Linked DNA regions of Neurospora crassa OR74A. The protein of the gene in region 3 purifies or fractionates together with the protein of the main gene of each other region. This does not show direct contact. Links are inferred from orthologs where the notes say so. Each region holds a gene or a part of one and is shown on either strand. Other genes may lie near its edges.

Region 1 (3,739 bases), on a different chromosome or scaffold from region 3:
TCTACATCAAGTAGTGTATGACCTGGAGAATAAACATGGAGACTGGGTTTTGGGAGACGTTATTCGCACATTTCTTTAGCTGTTATGGGGTTGGAGTTTACCGGGCTTATTCGTCAGGCCTACGAAATCGGCGGTGACTAGTGGATTATTGTTTTTGCTTAAAGTTGTGACAGATGATTACGGAGTTTGGAGTGTTGCAAGTCCTTCCAGGACACGGTTCATGGTGCGGAGGTGGTACCCTAGCTCTTCAGAAGATACCCATACGTATATCACTTTTTGCTACGTCTTGCCTTCACTTTATTTCAACAAGCTTGATGAGTCATGGGAGTTGGTCAGTCAGAGCACAAAAAGAGCCTCCTCGGGTTAAGATGGTCTCATCCCACCTATCGTAGGTGAATATCGAGGGGTTTGACTATGCTCTATCTGCTATTTCGATATACGGTTCGCCATCTGGACTGTAAAACAAACAAGACCTTTACTTATGCGGAACAAGCGAGATAAGAGAATGGATGGAAATAACTACTACTTGTATGACCTGAAGAAACCAATCTATCGTGGCTCACCTGGCTACATTGGTGCCCATCACATCAGCTCCTTACATTTTGCTTGATTTGCCGTCACCATGGAATTGAACCTCAACCAAATGAGCGCACTGGATCAGTTTCCCACATCACTTTCTCTGCACAATAATCGACCTTGCCAGCCAATATGCACTAAACCGCCTTTTGGTGAATATCTCTGTTCATTGTCTTCTCTTCTCGTCCTCCGGGTATAGATCATAACCACACATTGAAAGATTCGCAAGGCGGTAGCTCCCCAATATCCCGTCCTCTTCCTCCCGCTTCTACACACCTTCGTAGATATCCCCAGCATGACTGACTGAATCGCCCATTTCAAACTCTCCAAACTCAAAGCAAAAGCATAATGAACTCCTAAACGCCAGAACCCTTTTTAAGCGTAGCTCCCGAAATGCCACCTTCGCCCCTTATGTGATGAAAACCGTCGATTTTTTGTTGACTGAACCATGCAGCCCCGTGCGTGAACCATTCATTAGGTGAGAATAGCGGCAATAGAAGTGTAACACATTGTTGCCGTTTTTCGTGAAAGAAAGAGCTTAGAATCTCTCCTTTTGCCTCGAGGCAATGATCCGGAGGTTGTTGTACACCTTGCCGGGCTGGTGTCCGAGAATGAGGGAGACGACGGACTCGCGGGCCATGCCAATGTTCTCGAAGGCACCGAGGATATGAACGCGGGAGCCGGCGAGGACGATTCTGGTTTTTGTGGCTTTTCACATCTTGTCAGTACTTCTGCGTCATCTCTTCCATTCTCCCATAATGGTGAACGTACCATTCTCAATCGCAAACTTGGTCTTTCCGTCCTTGCCTGCAATACGACCAATCGCACGTCCCAGAGCATCGGGGCCAAGGGTCTGACGGACATCCTTGACATCGAAGGACTGGATATAGAGCGAATCGAGACGGAGCAGGGCAATGGCGTCGTCAATGTCGAAGCCCATGGCGAAGGCGGAGACGAAATCGGCACCCATCTGCAGGGATTCGGGGGTGGTGGTGTGTCTGCTGGAGCGGAGCTCGACGCGCTTCTCCTTGATGTTCATGCGGACCTGGAGCTTGCAGTGCTCTACAAGTGGGGGGTAGCTGATTGGAAAACAGTCAGTCTTCCTTGCCCAAACATTCACACATGTTTCCGTAGTTTTCCGTCTCACATCTTGGTCCAATTGGCCTTGAGGGCCGACATGCGGTTTGGCGGGATACCAATTTTCCTGGTCTCTGCGCGGCGAATGATCTGGACGTCCTGGCCGGGGGCGAAACGGGGGCGGCCCTCCTCGTCTACAGCCATCTGCACATCTTGGTCATTGGAAGGGGGAGCGGCGGCGCTGGGATCGGTGAGGTTGACGGCCTCGTTGACATCGAGAATGAGCTCGTCCTCTTGCTCGGTCTGGATAGGAATCTGGGCGGCGGGAGCCTTGACAGGCTGACGAAGTGCTGTTGGCGCAGGCATGTTGGGCGAGATGTGTTGTTTATCGGTGGGTGATGGTCAAGGGGCCGAGTCGGGTTGTTTGTTGATTAAAGTCGGTAGTATTTTGGGAAATCGCCGGCCAAGAGTAATGGCAGATTTTTCGAAAATCGGGTGGAGGAGAGACTGGTGACGGGCGACGAAAGAAGTGTCGGGATGCTGGGTTACAGTCGTGAATTGCGGAGATCTGGGAGTCGAAGTTCTGCCTTTTTGCGCCGTCGGTCTCTAGAATTTTGATGTTTATCGATTTTGATAGCGCAGAGGGGAAATTCTTGACAAAAAGCAGTGGATCCACAAAAGAGTACCCAAGTGAAGCTTATCGATTGGCTGCATGGGGGCTAGGACCCTTGCCAATCGCAACGCCCATGCACTAACAGTTACCGAGGAATCCCTGTAATCCCAAGGTTAGCGTCATTGACGCACTTTTGACGGGGACCTGGACCGGCAGCTTTTTCAAACTCCAGGTTCTTGGTCAGAGCAGGAGCACCATCATATGTCATTCTAGACTCGGCCCACCACCAAGCAACAACATCTGATTTTCAGCCTCGAGGACCGACCATGGATACGGCACCGAGCTGTCGTCATCACCATCGTCGCTGAAAACATAGGAAAAAAAAAAGGAACAGGTCGGTCCCTTACTCGGTCGACAGTATGAATTTCAACAATGTCTACTAGCGCTACGACGACCCAGCTGGGCCGCCAGCTATGGTCTTCAGTACGAGATCTTCACACCACCTCGAATCTCTTCACAGCCGCGATACTGCTTCCAACTTGTCAGCCATTACTGAGTCGTCAAAGTCTTGGACTTGGCCCCTCGACATCGCTGGGGTCCCATCAGCGATACGGACAGCAGCAGAGCACGCGACAATTTACCTCTTCCGCAAGTCGCTTTTTCTTCCCAGCAACAAAATCGCAAAGACTACACTATCAACAGTCACAACCATCCCATAATGTCCTACGAAGCTGTACCTCCGGAGGCCTACTCCTCCTTGGGCTCACCACCAGCCCCTCTCCAACGAGCACGGTAGAGGCATCCGCACTATCCGGCAATGCCGCGCAAAAGGCAAAAATGGGCCACTTGGCTCGGCAGGCTTTACTCTTGCGAAGGATACGACAGAACACCACGACCACAACGTTATGCAAGACAGGAAAGCGATTCCAAAGTTCGGGCAAAGAGACCAAGGGTGATCATGACGAGACCAAGGCCGAAGCCAAGTCTTCTACAATTTCTCCTCAGCAAAAGTCCGAGCAACCACAGCAGCCACCGAATACCGAGACGGCTTCCGGTTCTGGTTCCCAGCCGACTCCCGCACATGAATCAATAGCAGATTCCATGTCTAAATACCTTCACCTTCCTCACCTCCCCCATTTGCCTCATCGGCCCACAAAAGAAGAGCTTCTGGCGGCAGCAAGCGGGTTCTGGTCGCGTCTCAAGGTCCGATTCAAGTGGTTCTCCATCAGGAGCATGCGCCCCTGGAACGCCGACGAATGGGGAGCGTTTGTGTCCTTCTTCTTATTCGGTCATTTGGTCTGGATTCTTGTTGGCACAACTACCTTCTTCTCCCTCATCATCCTCTTTATCAACACGGTGTTTGCCCAGGAAACGCTGGCCAAGTGGATCGGAGACTACCTGACCCAATCTGCTGGCCTTACTGTTGTCTTCGAGTCGGCTATTGTGCCCAAATGGGGAGATGGTGTCATCACT
Region 2 (3,636 bases), on a different chromosome or scaffold from region 3:
GGACGCCGGCGATGGCATGGGTGCTGAGACCTTCGTGGTTTTTGGGCTATGGGTGTTGGGTGCGGAGGATGGAGGTCGAAGAATGGAGGAGTGGAGGAGAGAAGGACAAGAACGGCGACACATTTTAGTATCCAGTGTCGTGCTTTCCAAAATATAAGTTGCGGTCACCATTTGTTCTTCTTCTTTTTCTTTGCCCCTCTTCAATGGTTTTGAACAACTGACAAGCTATCGAAAGAAGGCTTCCACGCTTTCTGGCTTGGTAACGACGCACTCGGCGCCTGTTACTGAGAGAGGTAGGGTAGGAAAACAGCTTGCTCTCCTGTGCTTTCCGTTTCCCTGTTACTCCAAGGACTCGGTCCCGTAGGTCACTGACCACTCCCCCGATCCATGGTTTTATTATAAAAGACATCTCGATGCGGTAGGTCTGGTATTGTCAGCAATTGCTTCTCAGCAATGTTTGAGCAACGTGACGAAGAGAACAACATCCGACGCTCAAGCAATCCAAACGAAAGATGATTATGGTTCGATTCCTGGCAAAAGTGGCAGCCAGATTCATTGGCTTTTATGATTGTGCAAATCCTAGCATCCAGATCAATGGTATTTCCACGACAAATGGAACAAAACAAAGAATTTTTAAAAAACGACATTTTCCCAATCCCCAAAAAACGCCCCGTACGCCGATGATTTCTGTGCGTGTTCGCAATAATAACACACGTCTAAGAGAAGTGAATACCCTCCTCGTGGAACGCTGTCAGGAGTGTTAGCGAGGTTGTCCATCAGAAAGGGAAGCCGAGGGGGAAGAAAACGTACCAAGCAACAGCTTGAGGAAATCGTTCTGATCGCACTGCCTAGCTCTCTTGTCCGCCAAACCGGTGCTCGTAAGCACCTTGTTCAACTTGGCCTTGACTATCAAGGCCACCTTGGACTTGGGGTTCTTGCTAGGTGTCTTGGCGTCCTTAGCGTTGGCGTCGTTTTGCTCCTTGAAGAAGACGGGCATGTCCTCGTCCTCATCCTCCTCCATAGCCTCGTCATCGTCGTTGTTCTCTTCGTTATCATTGTCTTCGTTGTCGTCGTCCATCTCGACGTCCATGGCATCGTTGGTGGCGCCGGCGGCAGCAAGGTCAGCCGCGGAAGCGAGGGACTCGTCGATGGGGATGTTGTTGAGGGTGCAGTAGACTTTGTAGTTCTGGAAACGAAGTGGTCAGTAAGAGTTGGAGCTTGTGAACACATGGGAAGAAACGTACCCTCTCGCACATGTTGAGGACCTCCTTCTGGTTGAAGCCGGCATAAAGGGTCTTGTTCTTGCGGTTGAAAGCAATGCGAAGGAGACCGTCGAACTCCTCAAAAGCAATGTTGGGGCGCGCCGAACCAACAAGGGGCTCAATTCTGACGACGTCGGACTCGACCTTGGGAGGAGGCTTGAAGTTCTGCTTGCCGACCTTCATGATGTGCTTGCATGTGGCCCAGAAGTTGACATTGACACTCAATCTCGAGTAGAGAGCATCACCCGGCCGAGCCACCAGTCTCTTTGCGAATTCTCTTTGAAACATGAGTACGGCGACGCGGGGCGGGTTGGGCATGGCCAACATCTTGAAGATGAGCGGACTGGAAATTTGGTAGGGAGTGTTGGAGATGAGAGCGTCGCATGGAGGCATTTCGGGCATCTTGATGACATCGCCGAGAATGACCTCGAGCTTCTTGGCTAGCGGAGTGCCCTGGACACGCTTGGTAACTTCGGCACCCATACGAGGATCGAGCTCGATGGCGATGACCTTCTTTGCCTTTTCAAGGGCGCGGACCGTGATGTTGCCGGTACCGGGACCGACTTCGACGACGACATCGGTGGGCTTGAGGAAGGCCTTGTCGACAATGGCATCCGAGATACCGGGGTTCTTGAGGATATGCTGGCCAAAGTCCTTGTCGAACTTGAAGATGTTGGTGTTGGTAGCCTTGCCGCCGCCGCCGCCCCCCTTGCGATCGTAGGGGTTGCCGCCGCCCCCCGACTTCTTGGACGCCTTCGCTGCCTTGGGCATGGTGTAGTCTAGTCAATGCTGTCGTGGGTAGGTGTGTGGAGGAAGACGACTCGGAATCGAGGTCGGACGAGAAGGTTGGGGGATCGATGGAGGGTTTCGTCGTTTCGGTCGATCTCTGTCCGGGTCGAGACTTGGGCGGTTCGTTCTCAAGTCACGGCAGTCGCGCAATGGCTGTAGTATGTACCTCTATTGTGAGACGGACAGAGGTACCGCAGGCTGAAGAGAGCTTCCTTGTGCCTGCGCCGGACCCCGGCCGACATCTTTTTTTTGAGTGGATCAGGCGGCAGAAAAAAAGATGCCCCGCCAGACATGTGGCTGATAAGATAAGCAAAAGGCTGACCGCTTTCCCCATTGAGACACCATGCGGGCGGCGGCGGCGGCCCAGCCCACTGGAAACATCAGTGGAATCCAGGCACCTCGGCCACTTCCGACCGATGATTCCCCGTCTGACGTAACAGCGGAGGCCGCCCTAAACATGTGCGGCGGGTTCAAATTGCTACCCAGCACTTAAACGGCAAATCCTCCGGTCTTTCAGTGAGGGTCTTCCCCGTCATCACCTAACTGCCGTGTGAAGCTGATCACATCGAAGCAGACAGGCAGTGGCTTTGAATTTTCATCTACCTACCTATAATACCAACCCCCTCCCAAGGTTCGAGGAAATCGGATTGTAAAAAAAAAATAACAGATTCTTTTCCATCATCTTCTCCTTGGCTCATACCTGGGCGTGTGACCCACTGGTTATTCCTTGTTGTTTTGGTTCATGTGGTGATAGCCTCATTTCTCTGTTGAAGTTGACGATAATCAATCGCAACCATGTCGATACGGATCGCCCTCGAAAACCCTCCCGAGTTCTACACAAACCTGGATATTATCCGCGGCCAGGTCGTCCTCACTCTCAGTCGTCCCGAACAGATCGGAGGCATCATCGTCAAACTCGAGGGTGAAGCCAAGTCGGCCTTGGGAGTACCCGCCGATGGCTCAGGGACCGGCATTGCTCAGAGGGAGCGCACTCCAACCGGCGATGTTATCTACGAGAACCACAAGATCCTATACAAAGTCACCCAGGCCTTTCCCGACGAGAAGACCAACGCCTTGCCACAGCCCTATGTCCTAGCCGCTGGTCAACACAGATTCCCCTTCCAGTTCAAGTTTCCCTTCAACAATGCTTGTGGTGATCCTGTCGCCATGGCCAAACTAGGAGGCCTTTCTGGTGCCGGTGGAATCGCGTCGGGTTCTGGCTTGTTCGGTCTCGGTGGCATTCGTGTTATGGACGGCACCAAGCAGCTGATGTACTCCCATGTCACAAAGACGCTCCCACCCAGTTTCACCGGATTCCCAGGCCAGTGCGAGATTCGATACTATGTCAAGGTTACCATTCAGAGACCGGGCTTTTTCAAGGAGAACTGGAGGATGCAGACCGGCTTGAAATTCCTTCCTATTGAGCCTCCAAGGCCGCCCAAGACGAACCACGAAGCCTATGCCAGACGACCCTTTGCATTCCGTCCACGAAGCCCAAGGACAAACGCGTCTTCCAAGAAACGAGCTTCTTTCTTCAGCGGGTGGACTGGGAGTAGCAATGCAGGGTCATCTTCAGCCCCAACAA
Region 3 (3,995 bases):
CCAAACAGACATGAAATTCTTCCTCTATTCCGCATCCATAGCGTCCTCATCAACCTCCTGCTGGAGCGCCGCGGCATCCAGCAGAGGCGCACCCAGCTGCTTGGCACTCCGGGGCCACACCCTCTTGTACAAGCTGACGCCCACAGAGTCCTGAGGGTTGATGCGCCCGTCAAAGGTAGCCTTGAAGTAACCGTGGGTACCCAGCGCCTCCTTGATGAAACCGCTCCTGCCACGCCTGGTCCACAGAGGCAGAGCCTTGAACCACTCAACGTCCTCCCTGTTGAAGAACATGTAGCGGATGGTGACAATCTTCTTGTGGATGTGGTACGGGTGACCGGTAAGGATGGCACGCTTGGCGACGACGCGCGATGTCGAGGGGGGCAGGGCAGTGCCGGTGGCGACGAGGCTGAGCGGCAGATTGGAGACGGGCTCGCCATCTTCGTCAAGCACGGAGCCCGGCACTTGCCTCTTGAAGAAGAGGGTGGGTACAGCACCCCATGTGACAGGACCCGTAAAAGTAGCGACAGCCGACTGGCCGGGGTGCAGGTACCGGCAGTACTTGTGGACGTCGTTGGGAGTGTTGCCGCCCTGGGAGAAGAGCGGGTTGATGACGAAGCGGCGGGGACCGCACTGTATGATCAACTCCTCCTTGGCCTTGATGGGTGCGGCAGCGTCCGCGCTCAGGTTGATGAGGAAGTTGACAGCAGTCTTCTTGTACTCGTGCCTGAGCAGGGAGAATAGAGTGACGGGCTGGCTGGGGTTGTAGGATTGCTGGATGGTCGCGGGCACGTCCTTAAGGTAAACGTGGACGCGGGTACCAGGAGCAACACCTCCGACAAGGGCTTCCCTAGACGCCCTGATCTTGGAGGCCTGGTAGTCTTGGATCTTCAACAAGCGCTCCCAATCCTCTGGCTGGTATGCGCGGTCCTCATCCTCCTGCCAAGGGCTTGACCTCAAGCTCTTGAGACCTCTGTACTTGGCTAGACGTTCACGAGCAAGAACGTGGGGGTGGAGCTCGATCTCATCAGGGAACTCGAGGTCATCCTGAGCCTCATCCCGCTTTTGCTTGCGGAAAGCCTCTAGTTGCTTGGCATCCTCATCAGCATCAGGTTGGATGAAGCCGCCCTCAGTTTGTGGGTACTCGGTTTGTCCGGCTTCTGTTGGCGCGTAACCAGCAAGACCCTCCTCGCCATCCTCTGGCCTGGCGGCCTCTTCCTCGTCGTCGTCCTCCATCTCATCGTCCTCTTCCATATCTGAGCCGGAATCAGACACATCGTCGTCTAGGTACCACGCAGCCTGGTACTTTGATGTACCCTTGGGAAGCTTCTTTGGCGCAGTATAAGCCTCGGGCTCCTCCTCTGAGAAGTAATGGTGGTCGTCCAACAAAACACCCTTCTTTGAAGTCGTCATTGTGGTCATTCCGTCGTTCATTTCGTCATCGTCGTCGTCCTCCATGCGAACCTCCTCGGGCGCAAGGTCGACAAGATCATCGCGGTCGTCGGTAGGCTGGTCGAGAATCTCCTCAGCGCCCTCCTCCACGTTCATGCCCTCCTCTCCACGTTTCCTCCTGGCCAAGGGAGCTGCTGTGATCTTCTCAACCTGGAAGGTGCCCCAATCGCCAACCTGCACCAGGCGGTCGGCCTTCAAGCCCTTGCCCCTGACGACACCGGTAAGCACGGTAGACTCACCAAACTTGACCTCCTCCACAAGCATCCAACTCCTCTCGTCTCTCCAGCGAATGCCCTTGGGTGTAGTGCTGCATAGCGAGCGCATGAGGTTGGAGCATTCCTGTCTGTTGTCGAGGCTGAAGACCTTATCCTGTTCGGGGTGGAAGTGGGTGATGTAGGACTTGAGAGACGAAAGAACGGAGAGTCTCTGCTTTTGGGGCTCGATCTTGTTGAGGCCCTGGACGACGGTGAAGAGGGTAGAGAGACCCTGGCTTTCAACGCTGCGCAAGATCAGCTCGCCAAGTTCATCGACCTCTTCCTGCGCGGACAAAACGAGAACGACATAGTCGGCGACTCTGGCAGCGTCCAGGCAGGCGGTAAGGTCGCGCTTGAGGGGGAAGTATTGAAGCTTCTGCTTGAATCTGTCGACGGGAACGCGGAATGCGCCCTCGGGCACCTCGGTCTCGATATCAATGCTGGCGTTCAGGCTCTTGATGGCTTCGGTAGCGTCACCGTCGCTGCACAGGGGGATAACGGCCACGTTTCTGGGGGCACCATCCTTGCCGGCGAAAATGGAGGTCTCCTGGAGATGTTCCTTGTGTTTTTGCAGCTGAAGCTGCTTGTTACGGTTGCGACGGTCGAACTTGGACATGACTTGTTGATGGGGGGTCTTGCGCACACCTCTCTCCTCGGCTACCTTGCCTATAGAATGTTGAAAGTATTAGCGCTGTGTGGACGTTGTCGACCTCTTTATATGCAGCTGTATATTCATGTCTGCTTGGGCTTGGTGCGCCAAAGTTGGGTGAAGTAGAGCATAGTCCAAGGCAACAACCTTGGCATGAGGCACGGCTGTTATATGCAATCCGTACCTTTGGCAGCATTCCGGAGAGCACCCTTGGTAGAATGGCGTGACTTGAAGGGCTTGTTCGACGCCTTGGTCGTCGGCCGATGCGAGTGGCCGCTCACGGCGCCGGGCATATTGCTGGAATCGCCGCCTGCTTTGAACCGAAAAGGGAGCGAGTTTGACGCCAGGATGTTGGACCTGGGGAGGCGATGAAGAGAAGAGGCTGGGGGGTTGGGACTGAAAAGAGATTTCGAGAACCTCTCTGGTCACAATCCGTCTATCGAGTATCGAATAAAGTGATGGGGACAATGTCAATGGCGGGGCACTCGTTGCATTTTTTTGAGTTGTGCGAACATGGGCGGCCGTCTCGCTACTTATCTTATCGGACTCTTGTACGCAGTGGAGCCAATGATCGCTGCGGAACAGCTGCCCCATCCAACTTTTTAGTGGGTCCGGCCCCAAAAAAGTTGTCGAGGAAAGGAAACATTCAAAGTGCCAAAGCGAGGGACAGACACGGGCACACCGAGAAACCGCCAGACCAATTCCATATTCAGCCCCCATCCATATCCCGTCGCCGATCCAACTGTCCTAGTCCACCACACATATTACCCATTCCCATTGTGTCGCGTCGACCCATTGGCACCATGGAGACTACAGACAGGGCCGAAATCTCCCTCTCGAGGGCAGAGCAGCCCAGCGGCGCCGTTGCCATCAACAACGTCCGAAGCGAGTTCCGATCAAAGGCCGAGGCCAACAAGATCCGCAAAGTCAAGGCAGCAGAGAAGTCGTACGGCCGTGGTCGCAAGATCGATGTCAAGAACGTCAAGGACAAAAAGCTCAAGCGCAACCTTACCAACCTCGAAGAAAAGTACCAGACGGCCACGCTAAAGGCCAAGGAGGCCGAAATCCTTCTCGAGAATGCCGGCGGTTTCCTCGAGGCTGAACATGAGCTTGTGAGTAGCCATGGCTTGGGAGTTTATAGCCTCTTGCGCGATACTAACCGCGCTGGTCACGATAGGAACGCACATACAAGGTTCGCCAGGAGGACATCGTCAGCGAAGTCAACATTGAGGTCGCCCAGAAAAAGTTCGACTTGAAGCTCGACCAACTAGGCCCTTACATTTGCGATTTTTCGAGGAATGGCCGGGATCTGATTCTGGCAGGACGAAAGGGCCATGTCGCTACGATGGACTGGAGAGACGGCAAGCTGGGCTGTGAGTTGCAGTTGGGAGAGACCATCAGGGACGTCAAGTGGCTACACAACAACCAATACTTTGCCGTCGCTCAGAAGAAGTACACCTACATCTACGACTCGCAGGGCGTCGAGCTCCACTGCCTAAGGAAACACGTCGAAGTCTCCCACCTCGAATTCCTCCCCTACCACTTCCTGCTGGCCACCCTGGGCACAAACGGCCAGCTCAAGTACCAGGACACATCGACCGGTCAGATCGTCACCGAAATCGCAACGAAGCTGGGCACACCCG

What was found. Proteins that work in one complex are often made in the same cells at the same time.
Region 1: the proteins of NCU01503 (region 3) and NCU07956 purify together in Saccharomyces cerevisiae (affinity purification with mass spectrometry; 5 studies listed by BioGRID, with this or other methods). This does not show direct contact. The link is inferred for Neurospora crassa OR74A from reciprocal best matches to the Saccharomyces cerevisiae genes TSR1 and PNO1.
Region 2: the proteins of NCU01503 (region 3) and NCU08968 purify together in Saccharomyces cerevisiae (affinity purification with mass spectrometry; 8 studies listed by BioGRID, with this or other methods). This does not show direct contact. The link is inferred for Neurospora crassa OR74A from reciprocal best matches to the Saccharomyces cerevisiae genes TSR1 and DIM1.

The regions. Positions count from the first base shown.
Region 1 is NC_026504.1:1,226,295-1,230,033, forward strand, and holds NCU07956 (pre-rRNA-processing protein PNO1), read right to left. Parts: upstream 2,271-3,739; 5' UTR 2,020-2,270; coding exon 1,724-2,019; intron 1,656-1,723; coding exon 1,348-1,655; intron 1,285-1,347; coding exon 1,115-1,284; 3' UTR 511-1,114; downstream 1-510. Other genes in the region: NCU07957 (hypothetical protein), read left to right, coding at 1-14; pod-1 (mitochondrion biogenesis protein), read left to right, coding at 2,699-3,739. UniProt on the Saccharomyces cerevisiae protein: Required for small ribosomal subunit (SSU) synthesis. Has a role in the processing of early nucleolar and late cytoplasmic pre-RNA species. Recruits DIM1 to nucleolar pre-RNAs.
Region 2 is NC_026505.1:5,864,667-5,868,302, reverse strand, and holds NCU08968 (dimethyladenosine transferase), read right to left. Parts: upstream 2,282-3,636; 5' UTR 2,034-2,281; coding exon 1,245-2,033; intron 1,187-1,244; coding exon 811-1,186; intron 749-810; coding exon 717-748; 3' UTR 511-716; downstream 1-510. Other genes in the region: NCU08969 (hypothetical protein), read left to right, coding at 1-157; NCU08967 (arrestin domain-containing protein), read left to right, coding at 2,847-3,636. UniProt on the Saccharomyces cerevisiae protein: Specifically dimethylates two adjacent adenosines in the loop of a conserved hairpin near the 3'-end of 18S rRNA in the 40S particle.
Region 3 is NC_026502.1:3,251,126-3,255,120, forward strand, and holds the start of NCU01503 (pre-rRNA processing protein Tsr1), read right to left. Parts: upstream 2,840-3,995; 5' UTR 2,646-2,839; coding exon 2,537-2,645; intron 2,370-2,536; coding exon 25-2,369; 3' UTR 1-24. Other genes in the region: NCU01502 (small nucleolar ribonucleoprotein complex subunit), read left to right, coding at 3,156-3,464, 3,530-3,995.